Tamandua tetradactyla: one gene and its partners. The protein of the gene in region 1 interacts with the protein of each later gene in a pairwise test. Links are inferred from orthologs where the notes say so. Each region holds a gene or a part of one and is shown on either strand. Other genes may lie near its edges.

Evidence for each region.
Region 2: the proteins of SUFU (region 1) and HDX interact in binary tests that used the Homo sapiens proteins (3 or more experiments, as listed by UniProt). The link is inferred for Tamandua tetradactyla from reciprocal best matches to the Homo sapiens genes SUFU and HDX.
Region 3: the proteins of SUFU (region 1) and RCN3 interact in binary tests that used the Homo sapiens proteins (3 or more experiments, as listed by UniProt). The two-hybrid records come from large-scale screens. The link is inferred for Tamandua tetradactyla from reciprocal best matches to the Homo sapiens genes SUFU and RCN3.

The regions. Positions count from the first base shown.
Region 1 is NC_135339.1:64,379,145-64,387,519, forward strand, and holds the start of SUFU (suppressor of fused homolog), read left to right. Parts: upstream 1-4,840; 5' UTR 4,841-5,026; coding exon 5,027-5,208; intron 5,209-8,375. Other genes in the region: ACTR1A (alpha-centractin), read right to left, coding at 2,575-2,622. UniProt on the Homo sapiens protein: Negative regulator in the hedgehog/smoothened signaling pathway. Down-regulates GLI1-mediated transactivation of target genes. Down-regulates GLI2-mediated transactivation of target genes. Part of a corepressor complex that acts on DNA-bound GLI1.
Region 2 is NC_135353.1:85,477,310-85,485,426, forward strand, and holds the start of HDX (highly divergent homeobox), read left to right. Parts: upstream 1-4,698; 5' UTR 4,699-4,833; intron 4,834-4,979; exon of another isoform or gene 4,980-5,353; intron 5,354-8,117.
Region 3 is NC_135342.1:11,591,130-11,599,227, forward strand, and holds the start of RCN3 (reticulocalbin-3), read right to left. Parts: upstream 3,599-8,098; 5' UTR 3,507-3,598; intron 3,148-3,506; 5' UTR 3,143-3,147; coding exon 2,901-3,142; intron 1,313-2,900; coding exon 1,110-1,312; intron 1-1,109. Other genes in the region: FCGRT (IgG receptor FcRn large subunit p51), read right to left, coding at 4,426-4,535, 4,727-4,843, 5,365-5,634. UniProt on the Homo sapiens protein: Probable molecular chaperone assisting protein biosynthesis and transport in the endoplasmic reticulum.

The DNA of each region.
Region 1 (8,375 bases):
ATACAAACACACATCTCCATATTCCTCATTCATTCCAATGAATAGATTTGGTACCAGGGAATAATTGTTTTAAGATTGAAAAAGCTGTGGACTGATGATGGGGCTCTTCCATCTTTTCCCTGCTTTCTTTGTCCTCCTCCTTTAATTACACTCTCCTTAGCCCAGAAAGAAAATTGTAGCAACATGTTAAGCTATGGAGATGTTAAATTTGCCACACTATTCTCATAAAATTGGCTCAAATATTTAAAATGATTTTTCCTATCCATCTGTAATCTTGAGAGTTAAAAACACAAACACACAGAACAAACAAAACCAACTCTTTAAATTTCAAACAGAAAGAACTACACATGGCCCCAAATCTAAAAATGTGGCAGATATTCTGCAAAACGGGAAAATGACTTAAGTTCTTCTATTTCACCTTTTGGGAATTATTAGGATAAGGAAGAGAACGTTTTCCCAGAGAAAAGACAATCCTTTAAGCTTTAAAACTGAAAATGCATCACTGCTTTGACGCATTTCGTATCCATTATCAGAAAAGACAAAGGAGGAATTAAGAAGCATTAGCTTCAATGACTTTAAAGACAGAACTTCTGCCCAATCATTCAAAAAGCAAAGGATCTGGTCAGATGCATGGACTGCTCCTTCTGACTGCTGATGAAAAATAGGAAATTGCTACCAATTGTTAATTAATTAATTATTTTTACAACTAAAGAAAAAGCAGATGAGTATACAGACTGGCTGAAGATAGAAATGGTAGTGTTCTCTGGAAAGCAACATCAAGAACAACGAGTCCTAGTCAATTCCCTCCAAAAACTAACTGGGATTTCCCCCCATCCTTTATTTAGAGACATCTCTGTTACTATGACAAGAGATAATTCAGTCATTCATCCACCCACCCATCAACCCAATGAAAAAAGCATTTATTAGGCACATTATGTGTGCCAGGCACTGCCCTAACTACTGTGTGTGTGTGTGTGTGTGTGTGTGTGTGCAGGGGGGTGGGGTGGGGGTTTGTAATAAAAAAAAATAAAGGAACACCATTTTCCCCACAAGGATTTAACAGTCTAGTGAGGGAAGAAAAAAAAATTTCAAAAAGGGATGTCTCACTGAGCTCAACCTCACCCTTTCCAAGGCAGAAGCCATACCCACAGTGAGAAAACTAACAACAAAAAAACACCTTTCCTTAGAAAAAGTGAAGAACTTGGAACTGGATCTCAGTCTGAGTTTTGATTCCTCAACTCACAAACCTGGTAGTTTTAAATACGTTATTTAATCTCTCCAAGCCTCACTTTCACGCATAAAATGAAGATAGTTAATTCTTAACCTACCTACCAGACCCGAACCTTAAACAAGATGATGCAAATGAAAGTACCATGTAACATGCCCAAGGGCTGGCTCAAAGGAGCGATCTGAAAAAATCAGTTTAGGACAGAGGGGATTGGTAGTTTAGCCCCAATGGAGGGACCTAGAAGGGGCACAGAAAGGTTATCTCGGTGGGACCATAACCTTTCAGTGTAAAACAGAAATGCAGCAATCTCACAACTATCGCTCCCAATTACAAGTAGTATTCTGATTCTTTACATTTGTCACTATTGATGCATTTGCGTGGGGCGCTAGCAAAATGAATAACGAATAAAACATTCTATTTAGGGCTTGTATGACCCTGGTCTCATGTGTAACCTTGGGCTCACTTTACCTCCACGAGCTTGTTTTCTTATCTGTAAAATGACAAATTTCCTTAACTGTCCGCAGTTTTTGAGAGGACCCAACTCGAAAGCATGTGAAAGCTCCTTGCAGACACTAGAGCATCTTGCAAATATTATTATGTTTAGTAATTATTGTTTCCTCAACAACTAACATTCCTAAGAGGAAGGCACCTCCCGTCTTGCTTTGTCATTCTCCTTTCTTCTCAACATTTATTAATTTTATGCCTTATAATAGCAGAAATAACTGAAACCCTATGGCCATTTCTGGCACCAGATTCTCGGACCCCACCTAGATACACTATTAAGCCACCCCGCCAGTTCCGGACCCAAGGAAACTCAGTCCTTCCCACCCGCCGGCCTCGCCCTTCAGGCCCCACCCCAAGATAATCCGTTCAAACTTCATGCAGCGCCCCGCCCCTCAAGAGGGGGAACACTACGGCGGCCTGGAAGAAAGGCAGGAGGGCGGGCCAATCACTGCATAGGGTTGCCCTCATCCGGAAAGGCTTAGAGGCGGGGTTACTGGTCAAGATGGACAGCTAGCGCAGCCAATAGAATTATCCGGGAATGGGCAGAAGGCGGACATCGGGAGCTCACAGAGAGGTTAAGGCCCCTCGAGCCAAGGGCCCAAGAATCTGACTCGGACTACAGTTCTTTCCTTTACCCACCCCAAAGTTCTCCATCCCAAGGTTGCCAGCCGACCGCCCTGCCTGCGGTCTATGGGTGGGGGAGGACGGAAGCGGCGGCGATAAACCCGCCTGACAGGCCAGGCCGGTGACAAAGAGCCGGCCGCCCAGCCTGAAACCTGGGAAGCCATCCCTTCGGGGATGGGAGCACAAGTCCTTCTAGAGAGAGGAAAGAAGCAACTCACGTTGTCAATTACGACTGGCTGGTTAGCGATCACATCGTAGGACTCCATGGCAGAGTAATCTCTCTTTCCGAGGAAGGAACTGCCAGCCCGGTCCGCTGCAAACGCCGCTGACACGCATGCGCAGTCTAGCCGCCGGCACTGGGCAGTCAGGGAGGGGCGCTACCTCCTTTGCTAGGAACTACAACCCCCAGCATGACGTGCACCAGGGTTGGCGGAAAACCCTCCTCGGAGACCCGCCCAGTTTAAAGGACTGGGCGTTAGCGTTTCGGTCGCACAGTATTCTGGGGTTTGTAGTGTCCATGTTCATAAATAAGTAGACTCGGACACAGATTGATGCTTAAATTGCGTGCTCGGATCTGTAGTCTCTTTGAAGCGGTTCGCAATGCGTGCTGAAATGCGTAGTTTTTTTTTTAAAATACTTGTCTGTAGTTTGGTTTGGATTGGTCAGTAATTCGTGGCTGTTTGAATTTTTATGGATCAGTCATTGCCCACCCTATCCCCAAACAATGTACGGTTGCCATGCTTTTATCTGGGTCTTTAAGATATTAAAAACAAGCATTTCCTATTGCCATTACATTCTAGACATATTAAACAACACTACACACAGAAGAATATGCTCCCAGAATACAGGAAAATAATAATAACTTTAAGGAAAAAAGCAGTATATTGCAGCTTTTTGCATTTAAAAAACTTTTTAAATAGGTGTAAACTTTATAAAAGGCTGACAATCTGAATGGCATTTGGAACTACTGGGTATAGGTGATTTGTTTTTATTGTCATCATGGGAACATATATACAACGCAAAATTTCCCATTTTAACCTTTTTCATGTGTATAATTTAGTGATATTATTTACAGTCACGGTGTTGTGCTGTCATCACCACCATCTATTTCCAAAACTTTTTCATCACCTCACACAGAAACTCTGTACTCATTAAGCAATAATGCCTCACTTTTCTTCACTTTTATCTCCAGGTAACCTGTAATGTACTTTCTGTTTCAATCAATCTATGAATTTGTTTATTTTAGGTATTTCATATAAGTGAAGTCATACAATATTTGTTCTTTGTGTATGTCTCATTTTGTTCACCATAGTGTCTTCAAGGTTCAACAGTGTTGTAGCATGTGTCAGGAAGTCATTCATTTTAATGGCTAAATAAAACGGGTATACCACATTTTGTTTATTCATAATCTGTTAATGAACATTTGGGTTGCTTTCACCTTTTGGCTATTGTGAATAATACTACTATGAATGTTGGCGTACAAATATCTTTTTGAGTTCCTGTTTTTAATTCGTTTGCGTATATAAATATGGGTGATTTTTTAATTAGAACATCGTTAATATAAGGGTTTCGGGAACTGTCCTAATATCTCTTTAATTTCCACAGAAATATTGATTTTTAAGTTAAAAATAACTATGACTTTGATGGATAAGATAGTCCATCAAAAGAAAGTTTATGTGGCACTGCTCTCATATGAGACCAGGGCCTTTTTCTCTATGTTATTTTTCTCTGTTCAAGTTGGAGGGACCCTTTAGTCAATAGCAGTTATAGCCAACACTCCCTTCTGTCCCTTTCTCTTGGCATTTCTTCGCGATCGACAGGAAGACAATTCCAAATCCTATGCCTTAGAAATTAAAGAAAAATTATTCCAGTTATGGAGAGTCAAGGTAACAGCGAAAGGCAAACCCATAGCAAATGATAAATATTGAAGTGCCTCGAGGTAATCTGCAGTTCATCTACCTAAAACAGAAGAAAAAATGTCATCGTTATTAAAAGCGTTAAATTATTAAAAGTCGACTTGTTCTATTTCAGCATAGGACCCCTGAATTTGGCCGTGTTAACAGTGTCAGTCAGTATGATTTAAAGACGTTCAAAGACAGTAAGAAACATTAGATTAATAATCCATTAAAACTAATTCCCATGGACGAATGAATCAATCCATTGTCATAGTTATGTTTAAATCCTTGTTAGTGTATCAGCAGAACAATTGCAACCCTTTTGTCAGCGCCATTCCCAGTGCTTTCGTGGGACTCTAGTACTTCAAAAGGATGCTCAACATCTGTATTTGAATCTGGTTCCCTCCGAACACTAGGGGGAGATAAAGAGCCTTGGAACACCCTCAACTCAAGGTGGGGAGGCGGACCTATTGTCAGGTCACGCCTTCCCCATCTGTGACTGGCACAGACGCTAACCAATTGGTGCTTGGATAGGGCGCGCCGGCGCCCCGCCCCCCTCGAGCACCCCGCGGCATCAAGGCACCCTCTTGTAGACTCCGCGGCGGCAGCGGCGGCGGCCTGGGCGGACGAAGCGCGGTGCGCAGGCGCGGAGCGTAGACCTCGCTGCAGCCCGGATCGCTTCGGGGAGTCGTACCCGCAGAGTCTACCCGCTGGCCCGTCAGTGCTTTCCCCTTCACCCACCCTCCCGGGTTACCCTAGCGCCCTAGTTGCCCCGATGGCGGAGCTGCGGCCTAGCGGCGCCCCGGGCCCAACCGCGCCCCCGGCCCCTGGCCCTACTGCCCCCCCGGCCTTCGCCTCGCTCTTTCCCCCGGGACTGCACGCCATCTACGGAGAGTGCCGCCGCCTTTACCCTGACCAGCCGAACCCGCTTCAGGTTACAGCTATCGTCAAGTACTGGTAAGACCTGGGCCGTGGGGAGACGGACAGGGGAGGAAAGCGCCCGGGGCAAAGAGATTTGAGGGAGAGGAGGAGGAGGAGGGTTAAAGCACTTGGAAGGAGGGCTTTCTGCTTTGAGGGAAGGAGTTAAGGCTCAAGTTGGGAATGGGGACAAAGGGGTTAACGGAGTGTGTGGTCAGTGAAGGGTTAACGGGTGAGGGGAGGATGAAGGGTTAACTGGGATTAGGAGGATGGACCGAGAACTGGGGGTGTGTGAATGGGGAGCAAAATGGGGAACGTAGTGAGAGGGGAACTGTAAACGTGGTGAAAGGAGGGGTCGCCAGTAGGGGGTCATTAGTGGGCGAGGGGAAGCCAAGGCGGGGGCTGAAGTGGAATGGGGGAGGCGAGGCGGGGCCTGGGGAGCAAATGAGAGAGCTTTGGAGCAGCGAGGCTGGAGGAGCTCCGAGGGCAGGAAACTGCATAGGATAGGGACGGATCTGGGGCACCGGGCTTTCTAGTGAGTTGGAAAGGGAACGAGTTGAGAGGGTTGTGCTCGTGAAGAGATGAGGAGGAGGTCTCCTTTTGATACAAGTGAGCTCAGACTCAATATCAGTGTATAGCTTTTGCTTTTGAAGTTTGCCGGAACAACTCTTCCTGATAAACTTTTTGCTTACTCTGCACGGTTCTTTAAGCAGAACTCCCATCTGGCTCTGCAACTTCTTTGCTTTGGAACATTGTCTAGAATAGGGGCAGGATCAAACGGACCCATCTTTTGGCTAAGGGTTTACGGGGGTCACAGCTTACATTTCCACTGGGAAGTAAATGATGGGGACCTGGGATCTCAGGCAGGGAGAAGAGGAAATGTGCAGTGAGATGTTAAGAGGAACTTTCTGGCCATGCGTTTCAGAATATAAGTAGGATTTTCTCAGGGAAGCTGAGGAGGGTAACCCTCAAGTAGCTCCCTTAAGGAGCACACTGGATTATAGCTAGGTGGGCTGCCTTTGAGGAGTGGGTCTTTTCTAGTTTCCCATTCCTGTTTATATCCTGTGTCTTTTTGCAGCCTCTGGCCACAGATGGGACTTTGGGAAAGAGTCAGTCCTCATGGTCTTTCTAGATGAAATATTAACTAAGAAATTAGTTAAATCTGGCCAGGACTGTACTCATCAGGTATTGTATTAGATGCTCCCCTTCAGTGGGCCTGGAAAGACAGGTCAGGCAGCTGAATTGGTTTGGCCAGAGGGGAAAGGTAGGACCTGAAGTGAATGTCTTGGCTGATTATCTCTCCCTCCTCAGTGATTACCTTTTACTTCTGGAGGCTGTGCAGGACTGAGGCCGGTTCACTGTGTCAGTGGGAGGATGCAGGCCCTAGAGCTGACTGCGTGGAGGGCTTTTGGGATCAGTCATCTGCTCTTTAAGAAAGGGCCATGGGGAGCAGGCTGTTTCTGTCTGGGTGGCCAGGACCAGGTGTGGCTGGCGGTGCAGTTCTCTCTGGCAGGCAAAATGTTCATGTTCTTTGGTTGAAAGTTTTTGAAGAGAGCCTCTGAGTGGAAAGCAGCTCTTGCTAACGCTTATCGAATCTCTTATTTTAAATATGGGTTGTGATGAACTTTGTTGGAGTGTATCAAGAGAAAAGTGGGTCTGACTCTACCATACTGTTTGTTTAGGCCTTCTTTGATTGTGAGGAGAAATGCACACATAGACTTGGGCAGCTGTTTTTGTCTGTCACTCAAGTGGCCATAAAGGATGGAGCTGTGTGTAAAATGTATTGAAGCACATGCAAAGGACAAGACTGGTTTGGGCAACTTTTTTTTTTCTCTCCTTCCTGCTGCAAATTTGTTAATCAGGCCAGGTCTTATCTTTAGAGATGGACCAAAGAGGATTGTACAGCACTTTGTGAAATTAGAAATGCTACCTATATGTAGAAAAATAAGAAGAAATTGTTTAGCAGTTGGTATTTCCTAAGATCCTGAACTTCATATCTCTTACATTTAGGATCTTTGTATGTTGCCTAACTCTATGAGGCCTCTTTATTTCCCATAGCAGAATGACTGACCAAGGTTGTGTGGGTTTTACTGTGGCCCAGGGTATCTTGGGATTCCTCTTCCTGCAGCAGCAGGATTGCTCTTTGGCTAGTGGTGCTGGCCAGGACATCCTGGCTGAAAGCTGAGACTTTGGTGAGTCGGAAGCAGAGCCTGTGCCCTGGGCCCACTTCAGTCCTGTAACCAGCCTGTCCAGTGAAGTTAGGTGTTCGGGGTTCTCTTCTGGAATTAAGTTGAGGCATGCTCTGGGTCCTTGAATAACATCTTCTAGGTGCAGGATAGATTATTTTCCCCATACTCATCTGCTTCCAGTCAGGTTTCTATGAGTAATTGAACAGAACATGCAGTGCTAGGGGCCGAGGTTAATTTTGTCTGACTGTTGGTCATTCTCTGCAGTTAGAGTTTTAAGGATGCAATAGCCCCTGGGAAATGTGGAAATGCAAAGTGAGCTGCAGTGGTACAGCAGAAGGTGCATGGATGGTAAAAGTATCTTGGCCACTTGATGTTGGAAGGGAAAGATTGGGAATTCGTAACAGGAAACTGGAGCAGATATGGGGCTTGTCATCATTCCTGTCTCTTTAAGGATTCTGTAGTATGATAGGGCCTTTTCAGGGGTCTCTGCCCTTTTCTTTCCTCCTTCTGCCTGCAAACTTTTCTAAATCCAATTGATGGACAGATTAGTCATATGATTTGGTATAATCAGAGTTAAGGCAGACATGGAGATTTATCCTTTTTCTAATCCACTCAGCTGAGTTTCTAAATTATTTGTAGCAGCTTTCTTACAAGTTCTATAAATAACTTAACATTTCCTACTAAAGAATAAGGATTTTCTACAAAGACAAATAATATTCTGGTGAAATAGTATGAAACCAAACCTACTGGTTTTAAATAGTGTTGAAATTGCATGGTACTTGCTGGGATTATATGTAATGTGTCTCTTACTTGGTTGTTAGCTTTCTTTCAGCGTACTATCCCGCTTGCAAAGTACACTCCCCCAGTGTCCCAGAGGCAGGCAAAGTTTTTGGAGTCTGTGGAATGGTCAGATGTCCAAGGCAACTCAAATTCAGAGTGTTTGTGGGCTAAGTGCAGACTTTCTTCTGCTGATGGTTTCCATTTAGTCTGTTTCTCAAATCTACAGAGTTTCTCTAT
Region 2 (8,117 bases), on another chromosome or scaffold:
CTTTTAAAAAGATATCTAACAAATTTTCCTTAAACAGAAATCCAATAAGACAGGATAGTTACCAAATGAAAAACATGATAGTTATTTTGTATTAAATCAGTAAAGGGTACTTATGAGAAAGGAAAACTTGGAAAATAGTCTTCAAAGGCCATTAACTCAAGTTAGGAGCATTTAAGTTATTAGCAGTGGTTACCAATTAAGCTGAAGGTAAATCTCTTTAAGGAGCTGCTTATAATTTGCTTTGTTGAGAAGAAATGAAGAATTGTTTGATTATCCTACTATAAGATGATGCAAATTTTTAATCCTTGAAAGGGTTTTTCTGAAGTTGGAATTCCTATAATTCCCTGGCATGCTCCTCACAATAGGACATGAAGTCCAAAGATACTTTTGAACCTTTTATTCTTTCAGTGGAGTCTCCTATTCTTTGTTTTGTCATTAAACATAATTTTAATTTACTTTTTTTATGCGTATCTTTATTTTATTACTCATCTACCTGTACACTGGATAAAGAGAATGTCAGTTACAAGGATTTATAATCACATGGTTAGATGATAAAAGCTATATAGCTCTACAATCATTATCAAAGCTCAAGGCTACTGGATTACAGTTCAACAATTTCACATATTTCCATCTGGCTATTCTGATACACAAGAACTAAAAATAAATATTTATATAATGAGTCAGTAGTTATAATCATATGTTATATCCTAATTTCTCAGTAACACCTCCTCCCTCACATTTGATCATTTTCTCAATCTTCAGGGATATCTGGGCAATGACCATTTTGACTTCTTCATGCTGGAAAGGGGTGTCAACCTTATGGGGTAGAAGTATGAAACTGGTTAATGTTCTTGGAGAGACTGTTACCTCTCTCAAGGGTTTCAGGGCTTATTTGGCATAGGAACAATCTGGAGGTATTAAGTTTCTGAAAAAAATAAACTTGTTAAATAAATATTTATAGAGTCCTAGATAGAGCCCAAGGTATTCTTTATAGTTTTCAGGAATACTGTTGATTCGGGCTTGGTATACTGTGGCAAATTTGCAATATCTGGTGAAGCTTGCATAATAGTAATCTCCAGAATGACCTCTTGACTCTATTTGAAATCTCTTAGCCACTGAAACTTTATTATGTTCCATTTCTTTTTCCCCTTTTGGTCAAGAAGACATTCTCAATCCTACAATGGCAGGACCAGACTCATCCCTGGAAGTCATTTCCTATGTTGCCAGGGAAATTTACACCCCTAGGAGTCATGTCCCACATAGTGGGGAGGGTAGTGAGTTTGTTTGCAGAGTTGACTTAGAGAGCAAGGCCACATCTGTGCAACAAAAGAGGTTCTTTGGGGATGACTCTTTGGCATTATTATAAGTAGGTGTATGGTTTCAAGCTATTATGTACTCCAGAAAAGCCATGTCCTTCAATCCTCATTCAATATTGCTGGGTGGGATCTTCTTGAGTATTTCCATGAAGGTGTGACCCGCCCAATTGTGGGTAGTGACTTTTGATTATAGGGTTTCCATGGAGATGTGTCTCCACCTATTCAAGGTGGGGTTGCTTAGTGGAGTCCTTTAAGAGGGAACCACTTTTGAAAATGCTTAAGAGCCACCAGAACCAACAGAAGGCACACAGCCGGAGACATTTGGTGATGCATAAAGACAATGCCCCCGGGGAAGCCATTAAGAAAACCTTGAGAGAAAGTTAGCAGATGTCACCATGTGCCTTTCCAGCTGAGAGAGAAACCCTGAACATCATTGGCCTTCTTGAGCCAAAGTATCTTTCCCTGGATGCCTTAGTTTGGACATTTTTACAGCCTTCCCTTAATTTGGATATTTTCATGGCCTTAGAACTGTAAACTTGCAACTTAATAAATTCATCTTTAAAAAGTCATTCCATTTCTGGTATATTGAATTCTGGCAGCTTTTACAAACTAAAAGAGTAGGCTTATCTTTGAGGCTTCTAATCTTAACTACTGCACAGTTCTCTTTGGCCAGCTATGTTGTTGGTGCTTGCTATTTTGTTGGACATTTTCAATTATTGTTTTCACCTTAAATCATTAAGACCTGGTGTGGCTCAATATTTTAGGGTTTAAGTGGTGGAATGAATCTGTTGGCACACTGCTCCTGAGGACTCTGTCTCTAAGGGCTCCTAGAAAGGCTACGACCTCTCCTCCTCCAGTTGCACTTCCAGATGCAAAGGATCTTTTTTTCTATAGCCCCTTTTTCATTAGAGAATTTGTGGGCTTATAGAAAAATCATGTGTAAACCACAGCACTCCCATATACAACCTTATCATTAACACCTTGGATTAGTGTGGTGTATTTATTAGAATTCATGAAAGGACATTTTTTTGTATTGTCCATTGTTCACAATAGAGTTTACTGTTTGTGTTGTACAGTCCTATGTTTTTTAAAAAAAATTTAACAGTGACATGTATACAGCCTGAACTTTATCCCTTTTACCAGATTCACATATATTATATATAATTCATTGTAGTTAATTACATTCACAATATTGTGCTGCCATCACCACATAAGATAATTTGAAGTAATTCAAGCTAGAAGTGATAGTGATCATGACCATTGTACTAGTGATGGAGGAGGTAAGGAGTGCTCCAGTTAAGGACACAGAGTGTGACAGAAAAAGAGGAATGGGAAACTGGGTGAATTTAATTGCCTTCTTTTGTACTCTGGTATATATATATATAGTCTTGTCAATTGAACTATAAACTTTTTGAGTATAGAGACTCTGCCTTATTTTTTCTCTCATATCATCTCAGTGACAGGTACATGGTAGGTACTTCATGCATTAATTCATCATGAGTAGGTCATCTGTGAATCCTCCACCTTCACCCTTTTCATTCCTTCTTTGATGTGATTCACTCATTTATTTTAATTCTTGCTATTAACACTGATCCAGACTCAAGTCAGTCATCCAGAACATGAATTACAAATACACCTTTCTAAACGGTCTGTTTCACTCCAGTCTATCCCCAATATGATTCAAACTGTAAATTACTTGAAATCACTTGAAAATTTTGCATTTAGTAATTCATTCAACAAGTACTTATTGATCTGTCTTCTTTTGTGTCTAGAACTCTTCTAGATCCTAGGCAGACAGTAATAAAAAAAAACATGAAAAAACCTGCCCTCATAGAACGTACATTTGCAATAATAACTAGAAATATAAGCAGATTAGATAATAATAAGTCCTAGGAAGAAAAATAAAACAGTTAAAGGGGTATATGGAGTGTTGGGAAGATTGCTGTTTCAAATGGAAACTACTTTGAAGAGATTACATTTGAGCAGAGATTTGAATGAAGTGAGGAAGTAAGTTGTTTTAAGAAGAGAGAGAGCAATAGTAAATAGTAAAAGGACTCTGATGAGCTTAATTTATATGAGAAATTGAGAGAAGGTGAGTGTGATTGGAAATTGAGTTAGCTGGAGATTGGCAAGAACTGAGGTAAGAAAGATGGCAAAAGCCAAATCATTTAGGGCCCTGGAACTGTGGTAAAAATTTGCATTTTATGTTATTAGTGAATGGATGACATTGGGCTGTCTGGAACTGGGGATGATCTGACAGTAAAAAAAAAAAAAAAATCACCCAAGCTGCTCTATAGATCACTGACTGAGAAGGCTGCCTTAAGGCCTTTGGTGGTTTTTAATCAAATTGAAGTTCTCCACCTATTTTCAAAGGCTTTAATAATCAATGTGTCCTATCTCTCAGTAGTCCTTAAGTCCATTTGTCAGATTGTTTTCATTATGAACCTTCTTGTGTATATTTCTATTTCCTCACTTTTGCCTATTCCTTCCCCTATCAAACAGTGCCTTCCATCTTTTTCTATCCGGTAAGTTTTGTTTACAACATAGAACGCTTCCCTCATTATCCCCATCTCACTGATGTCTCCCATCATTATCCAGTGTTGCTCTTGTCTTTAGTTTCTGACTGAATATACGATCATGCAATTTATTTTTTTGTCATGCATGTTTTATGTGTGCTAATCTTATTTCCCCAATGATTTTCCTACTTTTGTAGTAGCACAGAACCAGTGAATTTTACATATAACACAGCAAACTGTAGGAGTGTTGTAAGTGAGTGTTGACTAATGTAATAGGTTTCTTGAATCTTTTACTGTAATGCTGTTTTGGTGATCACTTAAGCAACTTCTGGTAGAACCGCGATTGAGGTTAGGTGCATAAAACTCATAACTTTAATTTCCTGTCTTAGTCTCCAGAGTCAACCAGTCTCATATAAATAGTACATTTGCTCTTACTGACAAATTCCAAAGCCTCTAAGGGCGCCTTCTTGATTTTAATAACACTAAATATGTACCTGTCAGTCAAACACTGAACACAAAAGACTATATTTCTTTATGTGCACACTTGATCTTAGCAGCTTGCAACAATTCTTTTGAAAGCAAATCTCAAGTTGGAAAACCAGACAGCACCTGCTCAAAAGGTTCCATACATACACTATAATGACAGGGATACTGGGCATTTGAGCTATTCTGGAAGGGAGAGGTACAGAGAGGCCTGACTCTGTATGTTGCTAATCTGTGCTGGGAAGAGGCAGCTACACTGCAGGCAGCCACCTCTCCTCCCCCTCCCCACTCTTAGGTTCTGGGCTGAGGCCAGGGACTGTCCAGAGCTGATCTCGGGCTCCCATTGGCAGCTGTCTTTCGTGACGTCACGATCATGATGAGAATTGATGATCGGACACGCTGATTTCATTGTCTGAGGCGGCAGTAGAGACCCAGGAAAAATCTCGCTGAATTCGCCTGCCCCAGCATTGACCTGTTCTGGGAACCCCAGATCCCTCCGTGACCGCACCACGCACGAGGTAAGCAGCCAACCTGGGTGGACGAGAAGGGCTAAGGAGGGAGAGCAAGGCACTCGGCTGCTGCTGTGCCCCGTGTGGGACCTGTAGGTTCCGCGGCCTAAAGAGGCAGCCAACAAACTGGTGCAGCTGCTGCGGAGCCAACTGCCTGTATCCTCCGGGCGAAGACTGGCGTCAGCGTAACGTAAAAAACGAGCTGAGAAGAGAGATGCAGTGGGTATTGCGAGAGCGAAGGGCCTTGCTCCTAGAGAGGGCAACGTTTTAAACGCGCTTCTAACCCCGTAGTAGCAAGAGGTGGCGCCTCTGCCTCTGAAGAAAGAAGGGAGGTGAATTCTATCACTTCGAGATTCCACTGGACAGTAGATTTCTCATAGCCGTACTCAAACATACTGAGAGCGCTGCGCCTGCGCACTCGCATGTTGCCAGGGTTGGGTTCCCGGCGAGAGGGGGTGTGGAGCTTGCGCAGGAGCCTTTTCCGTTTTGCTAGAGCGGGTGCGGTTGAGCTCAGTCTGGGCGGAGTAAGGTAAGGGATGAGAAGTTGGTAAGGTGAATATGTTTCAAGCGCCAGTTTAATGGGGAGGGATCTGCTAGTTACTTTTAATCTGGGCTACTGATAATCTAGCCCTAAAATGAGCGATAAATTTGAGAAGACATATTCTTAATCTAAAAATATCAGGTTTGGAAAGAGCTTGGAGACGAATCTGTGGAATAGAAATGGGGGGTGGGGGGTGGGGGAACTAATTGTTCAAATCAGTCCGACTTTCAGTCTTCAAAAAGCTATGATTTGAGGTATCACTGATTTTGAGGTTAAACTCTTTGAAAGTCTCAGAGTGAGATTCATTATGGAAACTCAGGAAGTTTTCCTTTCATCCCAGTTTCAGGTTTAGTGCCATTAAGTCCTTCTTTTTTCACTGTGTCTCTGCTACAACCATCTGAGGCAAAGCCTATTTTAAGTTTTATTTTATAATTATTATCTGAATGAGAGGATGACACTGGATTTTCTCATTTAAATTGTAGAATTTGAGCAGGATGGGATTTTCCCTAGGTAAACCAATCTCCTCATTTTACGTATGAGGGAGCTGAAGCCAAGAGAAGTGAATGTACTAGCATTAATAGATGCTAATTTTTTTAAGCAATTAGTGCCAGGCTCTGAGTTAGATCATTATAAACATTATTGCATTTAAACCCCACAGCATTCCTATAAGATAGTTTCTAATTATTATTTCCCATTTTACAAATGAGAAGAGGCTGAAAGCCCAGGATCACACATCTACTAAACATCACAGTTAAGACACAAACATACGTCTGTTTGACTCTTATTCACCAAGCTATGCTTGTCTAAGACCAAACAATGAGTTTTGGGCAAAGCTTCAGCTAGGATCTAAATATCTTGATTCCCAGCCCAATTTATGTGTATGCATGTGTATGTCTTTTACAAAAATGTTTTCCATGAATAACATACCACTTCTATCAAATCAGATAGATTTTGGTTGAAAAATATGGCATGACATTTTTAATTCATTCTGCTTTTTAAATTGTTCTGTGCTTTCAGAGGGGATTATGTCCTTGTTCAGTGAAATCCCCAATAGGATAAAACATATTTCAATTGTTGATTATTTTTACAGTGGAGTCAGTCAAGAGGTAAAACCAAGAATTTGGTTGTCTTAATATACTTGCATTAAGTACAACATATCAAAGCATTTTGGTTTGAATGTAAACATCAATCATTCTGTTTTTCACTCATTTTGAAAGGACTTTAATAATAGCTAATGTTTGTTGAGCACTTAATTGTAGGTTGGACACTGTTGCTAAAGGCCTATGTACATTATGTCATTGAATCCTTAGAGACATTTTGTGAAATAGGTACTATTATTATCCTTATTTTGCATATTAGGAAATCAGAATTTAGGTAGCTTGCCCAACGTCATTCAGCTAGTAAGTGGCAGAACCAAGATTTGAAGGCAGGTATTGCTCTGGAGTCTCCCTTCTTGACTACTAGGTTATGGATTAGAGAAGTAAAATGAGACCCTGTCTTTATTTAATTTAAAAGAGTATGCGTATGTGTGTGCCAGTAATTTTCCCCGTAACTTGTCTCTCTTTCTGTAAGCATTTCAAATCCACTGAGAATATGCCTATGACATGTTCCTTTTTCTCTTAGGGGAGATGGAAATCTTTTACAGAAAGGCTGAAGTTTAGGGGAAGAGGGTTATTGTGTTGGCCTCCAATGGCTTCAGTGGCAGGAGGCAGATAGACCCATAAACTATCCTAATAATCTACACTTTCATCAAACCCAATGAAAAGATATTTTCACTATCAGTTGGTACTTGATTATAAGGTTGTAAGATTATGAAGTTATATAAATTTTGTACTACACTGATGTATTGCTTTGATACTTTCTTATTTAGTTAGCTTGGTATGCCTATTGTGTGTTTTGTGAGTGGAATAGAGGTGCCATTTGGAAAAATAATTATCTAAGACCCATTCTCCGATAGCCTTGCCCTTTCCCAGACCAAGCATTTATTGCATTAAATTCTTCTCAACAGATCAATAATTGAAAGAGACCAGGCCACATCTGAGCAACAAAAGAGGTTTCCTGGATGCAACTCTTAGGCCTCATTATGGGTACTCTTAGCTTCTCCTCTACAGAAATAAGTTTCCTATGGGCAAGCCTCAAAATCAAGGACTTGACCTAATTTCCTGGGAGTCTCCAATGGTTGAGAGGGTACCCAAAGCTTCCAGATGGGAAAGTTCAATAGTTCCATATGTATGCACATATACTTTTTTTTCCCTTAGGATCTTGAAGGGATTCTACCAATACTTTTAATCATCAGCCCCCCCACCATAGTCTAGGATGTGTATCCTGGTATTCCATTAAACTATACAGAATTACAAGGCCTTGTTCCCATTCTGGACTCCAGGAGTTTGGATTGTTTAAGTGAGCTATCCAGACAGATTGATTTAGGTTATGAATTATTGAAAAATTAGGTTCCAGACATAATAAACCACTCTGCCTTTGGTCTCATATAGTACGTGAAGGTCTAGAGTACATACGCTATTATCTTTTACCCTGTATTCTGATTTACCTTATATCCAGCCAGATTAGCTTCGTTTTTAATGCTGAGGCCTGATCTCTTTTTCGGTTACTTTAAGTGTTATTATATATAGCTATGCTCACTTTCAGGGCTGTACTGTTCATTTCTGGGTCTTAGGTGTCACAGAGTTATTCAAAGTTCCGGAGAACTACCAGTTGATACACATATAGCTCAGTGTCTCAAAATCTAGAAATA
Region 3 (8,098 bases), on another chromosome or scaffold:
AAGCCTGGGTTTGACTTTCCTATATATTTATTTGTTTCATGAAGTGAGGTGAGTAAAATAATCTCTGTGAGGTTCATTTACTTGTTGTACTCATTTAACACCTAATCCATCTGATGGGGTTATTGATTAATCTTATGTACCATGGCAATTTTGTTGAGAGAATAAATAAAATGCCAAAAAGGAAAATAATAATAATAATAATAGCATATATGTATTCGCTCCCCTGTGTTGAGAGCTTATTAGGTGCTGACCTCTTTACCAGCAGCACTGCGTCTAAGTCTCACCACGGGCAAGTGAAACGGGCTCTTGCATTTCTTGGCGCTCAATGAAGGGAAAAGTGTCTCCCACGGGTGACTTTGGGGGAAACTGGCGGGTTTGATCCCAAAGCCACGCCCGAAGGCAGTGACTTTATACAGACGGGGGTCGCCCGACGAGAGGAGGGTTCGGGCATGTTCAACAGAGAGCCCAGCCTGTGCAGAGTCTGACACACGTGCAGCTTGGAGGAGCTGGGCGGGTTCGGGGGAAAGGAAGCAGGACGGGTGGGCGTGGCCAGGCCGAGGGGCTGGGGGGGTCTCTCCTGGGGACTCTGGGGAGCCCTGGGGGGGCTGTGGACAGGGCAAGGGCAGGGTCAGCTCTGGGTGGGTTCAAAAAGGCCCTCGGGGGTTGAGGGTCGGGCTGGAGGTGGGGATCTGAGGCAGGGAGGCCGGGGAGGAGGCAGGGGTGAGGGGCCCAGGCGGGGGTGTGGGGGAGGAGGAGTCTGTGGGGACAGAGAGGAGGGAACCGAGAGTCGGGGGGCAGGTAAATGGCTTTGGGGGTTCTTAGCATGACGGGTCACAGGGGTCAGGATGACAGGACATTAGGCAACCCTGGCCAGGGGTCAGAAGTCCTCCAATCACCGGGCCATAGAGGTCGTGGGTCCCAGAATGAGAGGCCAGAGGGCAGAGATTGGGGGTTTCAGGATGACAGGGTCCTAAAAGTGACTCCTGGTCAAGGGTCAGAGGTCAAATGTCTGGCTTCTAGATAAATGGCTTGGGGCTTCTCAGGATGAGGGGCCCACAAGGTCAGGGCCGTGGCGTGAGGGGCGCAGGGCTGCAGCTTCCGCCGCGTACCGGGCGCGTAGTGGCCGTAGGTGGCGTTACGTAGCTCCTCCCAGCCCACGAGCCCGTCGCGGTCCGTGTCGTACGTGTTCCAGGCCGCGCTCACCGAGTCCCGTATGTGCCGCTGCTGCGTGTGCGCGATCCACGAGCGGAGCTCGGCCAGAGACACCCAGCCGTCCCCGTCCCCAGCACTGTCCATGCGGTCCACGATCCTCCTGCCAGCCGGGGCGGGACCCGGGTCAGTCTCCGGACCCCGCCCACCTCGGGGCCCCGCCCCTCGCCCAGGCTCCGCCCCAGACACGCCCCCATTCGGGGCAGAAAACTCGATCCGCACAATCCAGGACCGCATCCCCCACGCCGGCCTCGCCCTTCGACGCTGCACGTGCTCCAGGGCGCGCCAGGCTGAGCTGGGGCCCCCGACCCAGGATTCGTTCTGAACCCCGATTACCACAGTCACACACACCTGTTTCTCCCGGCCTCAGGCCCCGCCCCCTCCGCTGGCTCGGACTTCTCTCTAACCCCGCCCCCCGCTCCGCCCCCTCCCCGGACAGACGCGTGCGCCGCAGGCTCCTCCCCTTAATCCCCGCCCATCAGGGCTGCGCGCGCTTACGCCCCGCCCCTGCTCCACCGACCCCGCCCCGCCCCCTTTCTTCTGTCAGCTCCGGGCCGCCACAGGCTCGGGGCCCCCGCCCTCCCCGCCGGCTACGCCCTGCCAAGACCCCGGCGCTCGCCCAGTCTCTGTGAGCCCACGTGGGCCCTCCTCCCGGTCACCGTTCCTCAGGCCCACGGTCCCCAGACCCCAGGGCCAAGTCCGAGACGGCCAAGCCCTCCCAGGGCGCCGCCCTCCTCCCAGGCCAGACTGTCTCTAGAACCCTCTAACCTCACCTCCGGCTCTCCTGCTTCACTCACTGGGTCCCAGCCACACTGGCCTCCTCGCTGTCCCTTAAACACACCGGCCCGCTCCTGCCTCAGGGCCTTTGCACTCACTACTCTCTGCCTGGAATGCTGCACCACATGGCTCAAACAAACTTCTCATTGAGGTTTTCACCCACCTCCTCTCCTCACTGATCTCCCCTCCCCACCTCTTCCCTCCACACTTCACTTCCTCCAGGTCTTGCTTGCTTTTTCATTTTCTAATAGGCGTCTCTCCATCGGATGCCCTTTAGGGCATAGGGCAGGGACGTCGGTCTGATTTGTTCTGTTTGCTGCTGTGCCTTTTAGCACCTCGAGTGAAGGTTCCTGGTACCCAGCAGGTGCCCAGAAGTACAGATGGGGGTGGGGTTTATGTATGCAGTGGTTCCATCTCCTACCTGCCCCCAGGCGCACCCTGGCCCTGTCTCTCCCACACAGAGGTGCACCGGCCCCCTGAGGTTTGGGGTGACACGAGCTCACCCTGGGACTCGGGGCTCAGGCTTTTCCCTGCCCTGGCTAGGCTCCTTACATGCCCAATCTCCCTGTTCACCGAAGCCCCTGTCAAAGGGAACTGGTGACCCATTTGCCAAGCAGGGGATTGGAGCTCGGGGAGGGGAGGTGTCTGGGACAAAGGAACAAATAATGTCTTGGGGGACACAATCTGAACCCAGATCTCCCTGCCTTCAGAGGTCATATCTTAAGGCCTTGATTTTCCCTTGATTTGTGTTTTGACCCGAGGACGGGAGGGAGAACTTCATTTTTGGATTCTCGCAAAAAGCCGAGGTCCATTTTACTCTGTCTTTCCTTCCCAGTCCCCCATCAATGCCCCCACCCCTCTCTCCTCCCACCCCACCTCTGCCCCTTCCCCTCCCTCCCCCGTTTCTCTCCTACCCCAGTCGGATCTGGCTTTCCTCTGGGCTGAGCTGGTCGAATTCCTTGGCCACCTCACGTCCCAGGAAAGCCTCATGGTCAAACTGGAAGTTCCCGTGGGCATCGTCGTGAGGCGCCTCGCTGAGGGGGGCAGGCTGGTGCACCCTGCCCTGGCCGTGTGGGCCAGCGTCCAGGGACGGCTTCCCCTGGGCCCCCCGCCTCGGCCCCAGCAGCAGCAGCACCAGAAGCGAGAGTCGCCACATAGTTTCTGGGGAAGGGCGGAGGCCAGGCGTCACGGGCCACAGAGAAGAGGGCAGCGTAGGGACAGGCCGCAGCGGGGCTTGGGGGAGGAGCAGGACAGAGATTGGAGCTGGGGCCCGGGCTGGGGAACAAAGGGTTACAGGGTCCCCAAAGGGGGGCCCAGCTGTGGGAAGGCCCAGAGCCTCACGTCCAGGAGGTCCAAGGGGAGACGTGGCGCTCGTCCCACGCCAATGCAGTGCGGGGTAGCGGCCAGGCAGAGATCAGGCAGGCTCCGGGGACTCGCTTATGGCCTGGACCCCAGTTCTCCACCCGAGCCGCATCCCCCGGGGCTGCACCCCACCCGCTCCCCGTTATCCTTTATCCAACCTGGCTTGGCTCGGCGCGCGGGGCTCTGGCTGCTGCAGAAGATGCCCAATTTGGCCGCTCTCCAGCCGGGCCCCGCCTCCCGCAGGGCAGAGGCCCCGCCTCCCGACCAATGAGTGCGCACGAAGGCCCTGGGGGCGGGGCCGATGGGCGCTCGGAGGGCCCGCGGGCGCCCCTCGCCACGTACACAAGGGAAAGCGCGGTCAGCGAGGCCCGGCCCCCCTTTCCCAGGACAGGCGGGGTGGGCGATGCCGGCGCGCCGAGGCCGGGGAGAACTACAACTCCCGGCAGGCATCGGGGCGCCCTGCCCGACCACCCCCAGTTGTTCTGACCTCAAAGCCTCATGGGAAATGTATTTTTATCCCGTTCCGTTTGTTGGAATGGTTTAAGACATGAGGTCCGGGAAGGTAGCCCCTTCTCTTAGCGACGGAACAACTCTTTTCCTCCACTCCATCAGAGGGATCCTGGTCAAGTTCCATCCAAGAATTCCTCAAATGCCCGTCACAGTTTAGGCAATCAATAAGTTATTTGTAGAATTTACGACTGGTAAATACGCGAACTGGCACTTAAAATTGGCAAATTCCACCACGACAGGATGTTGGCTGCGGGTGGGATTTGAAACTCAGGTCTTCCACCACGTTCATCCCCCCACCTCCCCTGCTTGGAAATGTGAAATGATGATAACACAGTGATTCGGGCCCAAAATCATGTTATACATGTGAAGATGGAAAACAGCCAAATATATCAGGAGAGGAAACTGAGGCAGCCTACAGGAGGAGTGGTCCAGAAGGAGGACAACGGGCCCAGGACTCCTTCTGGAGGCTCAGAGATGCCAGGATTCCATCTGGAGGTCTCACAGCATGAAAGGGAGAGGAAGACAAACATTAGCTGACAGCAGGCAAAATGGGGCGTGAGGTGGGGGTCAGGTAGACACTGGCAATGCATTTGCATCCTGAGAGTCAGCGTCCTGGGGCTGGCCAGGAGTGGGCAGGAGCGTCCCTATGTCGTCCCCATGGCGGGAGACCCAGAAGACTGAGGAGAGAAGGAGAAGGACATAAGATTTACTAAGACTCTCTGAGTTCCTGCCCCCCTCCCCAACACCACCACCAATTTCTGTGTATATGTGTCTGTCTCTTTCTTGTGATAGGTCTCTGTCCCTCCACCCCCACCCCTCGGGGTGCCTACCCCTCTCTCTCGGGCCCTTTCCTCTTCCTGCCACCCACCTGGCAGCTCCTTCCTCATCCTCCTCCACAGCAGAACTCCTCCTGCAGCTGCTGCCAGGAGCAGCAAGACACTGATGACAATTGCAGCCACTTGCACCGAGGACTTGGGTGGTGATTCTGCAGCCAGAGAAGGCTATAAGAGGCTGACTGTACCCTCCACCCCATCAGAGTCAGGTCAGGGAGCTGGAGGTTCCTATAGCTTCCCCCTCTCAGAGATCCCAGATGTCTGGGGTGAGGGTGAGCAGAGGAAAGGCCGGGGCAGGTGACACTCCATGTTTGGGCAGAATGTACCCAAACGTATGTAAGAGCCAACCTGGCCAAGGGAACTGTAGCACCAGGGTGGGTGATGTTCCAGCTCAGAGAGGATTACAGATGCAGAACAGTAGAAGGTCAGACTCACGGAGGACTGGCAGTAGCAAAGCAGTAAATGGTCAGTCCTGGGAAGAATTAGTAGTAGCAGACAATAAGTGGTCAGACTCCATGAAGACTCGCAGCAGCAGGAGGGAAGGTGGTCAGACTCAAGGAGGACCAGCAGCAGTAGGATGGAAGGTGGTCAGACGCAGGGAGGACCCACAGCAGCAGGAGGGAAGGTGGAGGGCAATCAGACAGAAGGGGACGGCCACCCGGCGGGACCTCACCCAGCTCCACAGTGAGGGGCTGTGACAGCCCTGCGTGCTGCACGAGGCAGCGGTAGTGATGTTCGTCGCCACTTCTAACAGTGAGTGAAGTCCAGGCATGGAAGGACCCATCACCGTTGGGGCCATGGTCACCTTCCCCGGAGCCAGCTGCCAGCCCATTCCGGAGGAATCGCAGTTGCAGCTCCGGAGGGTAGAAGGAAAAGGCACTGCAGGTGAGCACCGAAAGGCCAGGGCCGCCTGGTCGGGCCCTCAGGCGCATGGAGGGGGGCTCTGCAGACAAACAGGCAGATGGTTGTGAACCCCCAAATCCCTGAACTCCCAGGCCCAGTCCTGGTGCAGGGCTGAATAAGGACAGAGGGAAGATGCCATTCCTTCCACCACAGCCAGAGGACCCCATGTGTCCTGCTCTGTGCTGAGCCTAGAGGGTATGGTGCCCTCCAGGGGAACAGACACTCCACCGAGCCATCCTAAGGGTGTCCCCCTGGATACCCCTCCCCCATCCATTCATTCCTCCAACAGACACGTCCATGCCGGGAGCACATCATGTGCCAGGACACATGCTCCCTGTCGTCATGGAACTGACATTTTAATGAGAGCAGAGGGATAAGGAGTATTTGTGAACAAATAAATAAAAGGGAAACATACTTGGAAAAATGCTGTCATAGGGTGACATCATACAGATCTGATAGCCATTAAAAAGGTAGTAAGAGGGCAAAAGATAAGAAGAAGATGGTATGGAAAATGTCATTCCATATTTGACAATGTAAATGGACGCAACACATTCCTGAGCAATACAACCTTCCAAAACTGACACCAGAAGAAATGAAAATCTGAGTAGTCCTATATCTATTTTAAAAGTTTAATCCATAATTTAAAACTTTTCTACGTGAAACTCTAGGCCCATATGACACAATTCCTGAATTCTTCAAAACAACTAAGGAAAAAAATAAGTGTTCTTACACAAAATCTTCTGGGGAATAGAAGAAATTTCCCAATACCCTTTATTGGTATAACTTTGATAACAAAACCTCATAAAGATATTACAAGAAAGGGAATTTAATGTCAATGCCTTTCATGAAAATAGACTAAGAATTCCTAAACAAAATATAAGTAAATAGAATCCCACAGTTTCTATAAAGGATAACGCATCATGATGAAGTGAAGTTTAATACAACTATATTCAAAATCAGTCAATATAATTCACCATATTAACAGAATAAAGGGTAAAAAAACACATGGTCACCTCAAGAGATGCAGAAGAAATAATCTGATAAAATTTAACATGTAGTCGTGCTAAAAAACAAACAAACAAACAAAAAACTCTTAGCAAACTAGGAGTTGAAAAGAACTTCCTCAATTTGACTATGGGCATCTATGAAAAACTTATAGCTATCATCATACTTCATGGAAACGATTTAGTGCTTTTTCCATGAGTTCAGGAATACCAGCTAGTATTCAACATTGTCCTTGGGATCAGACAAGGAGAAGAAATAAAAGGATTAAAATTAGTAAAGTAAAGAAAGAAAACATGTCAAAGATGACACAATCCAAAAGAACCTGAAAAATACTATTAGAATAAGCAATAATATTGTTTCCAGATACAAAGTAATTACATAAAAATCAGTAGTGTTTCTATAAACTAGCCTCAAACAAATGGAAAGTCCATTTTTAGAAATATTTTTAAGGGATGTATGTCAGCAAAATAAAAATTTTGAAAAGCTCATAGAGCTGTACCAAAAAAATTCCATTGACAATGGCATCAAAAAATAGCAAATACTTTGGAATAAATATAGCCAAAGATTTGTGAGATCCCCACATTGAAAACCACAAAATATTCCTGTGAGAAATTAAAGCCCTAAAGAATCAAAGGAATATACCATGTTCATGGATTAGAAAACAAGATGAAAAGAGGTCAATTTTCCCCAAATTGATCCAAAAAACAAATTAAGCTAAAAATACAATGTAACCATAATCAAAATCCCCCAAAATTACTTTTGGTGAAAAGTGATAAGCATATTCTAAAACATATATAGAAATGCAAATGACCTAGAATAACCAAGGCAATGCTTAAGAAGAAAAAGGCAGTTGGAAAACTTCCCATATTAGATATAAAAACTTATTTTAAAGCTATATTAATCATAAGCGTGAGGTATGAGTTCAAGAATAGGTCAACAATATTGTAATTCTTAACATTCAAACATTCTTGTACGAAATTTTTGGAGGCTCTGCCATAGCAGAGCTGATAGTAAAATAGGTTTAATGATAGTTAAAAAAGAAAAGAATAGATCAACAGATCAATGGAAGAGTCTAGAAGCAAAGCAGAGCCAAACCACTTTATGAAAATGCTCTACTGCAACTCAGCGTGTGTGTGTGTGTGTGTGTTGTTGAGGGATTGATCATCTTTGCGATTTGCGATGAATCTAAGGAAAACAAGGAGCCTTGATTCCTATTTCACATTATACTCATAAATTAACTCAAGATGTCACGTTTCTAGAGGAAAATACTTTCCTAACTTTGCAAGAAAAGATTTTTTAAAGAACACACAGAAAAGCAACAAATGAAAGACGGAAGAATCGAACTTCACTAAAATTAAGAAATTCTGTTCATCAAAAGGTTCTATGAAGAGAGTCAAAAAACAAGCCAGGAATAGGCTTATTTTCACTGCAAATATAAGACAAAGGACTCACACCCAGAATCTAGTAAGAACTTAAACAAGAAAAATAAGATTAAAATT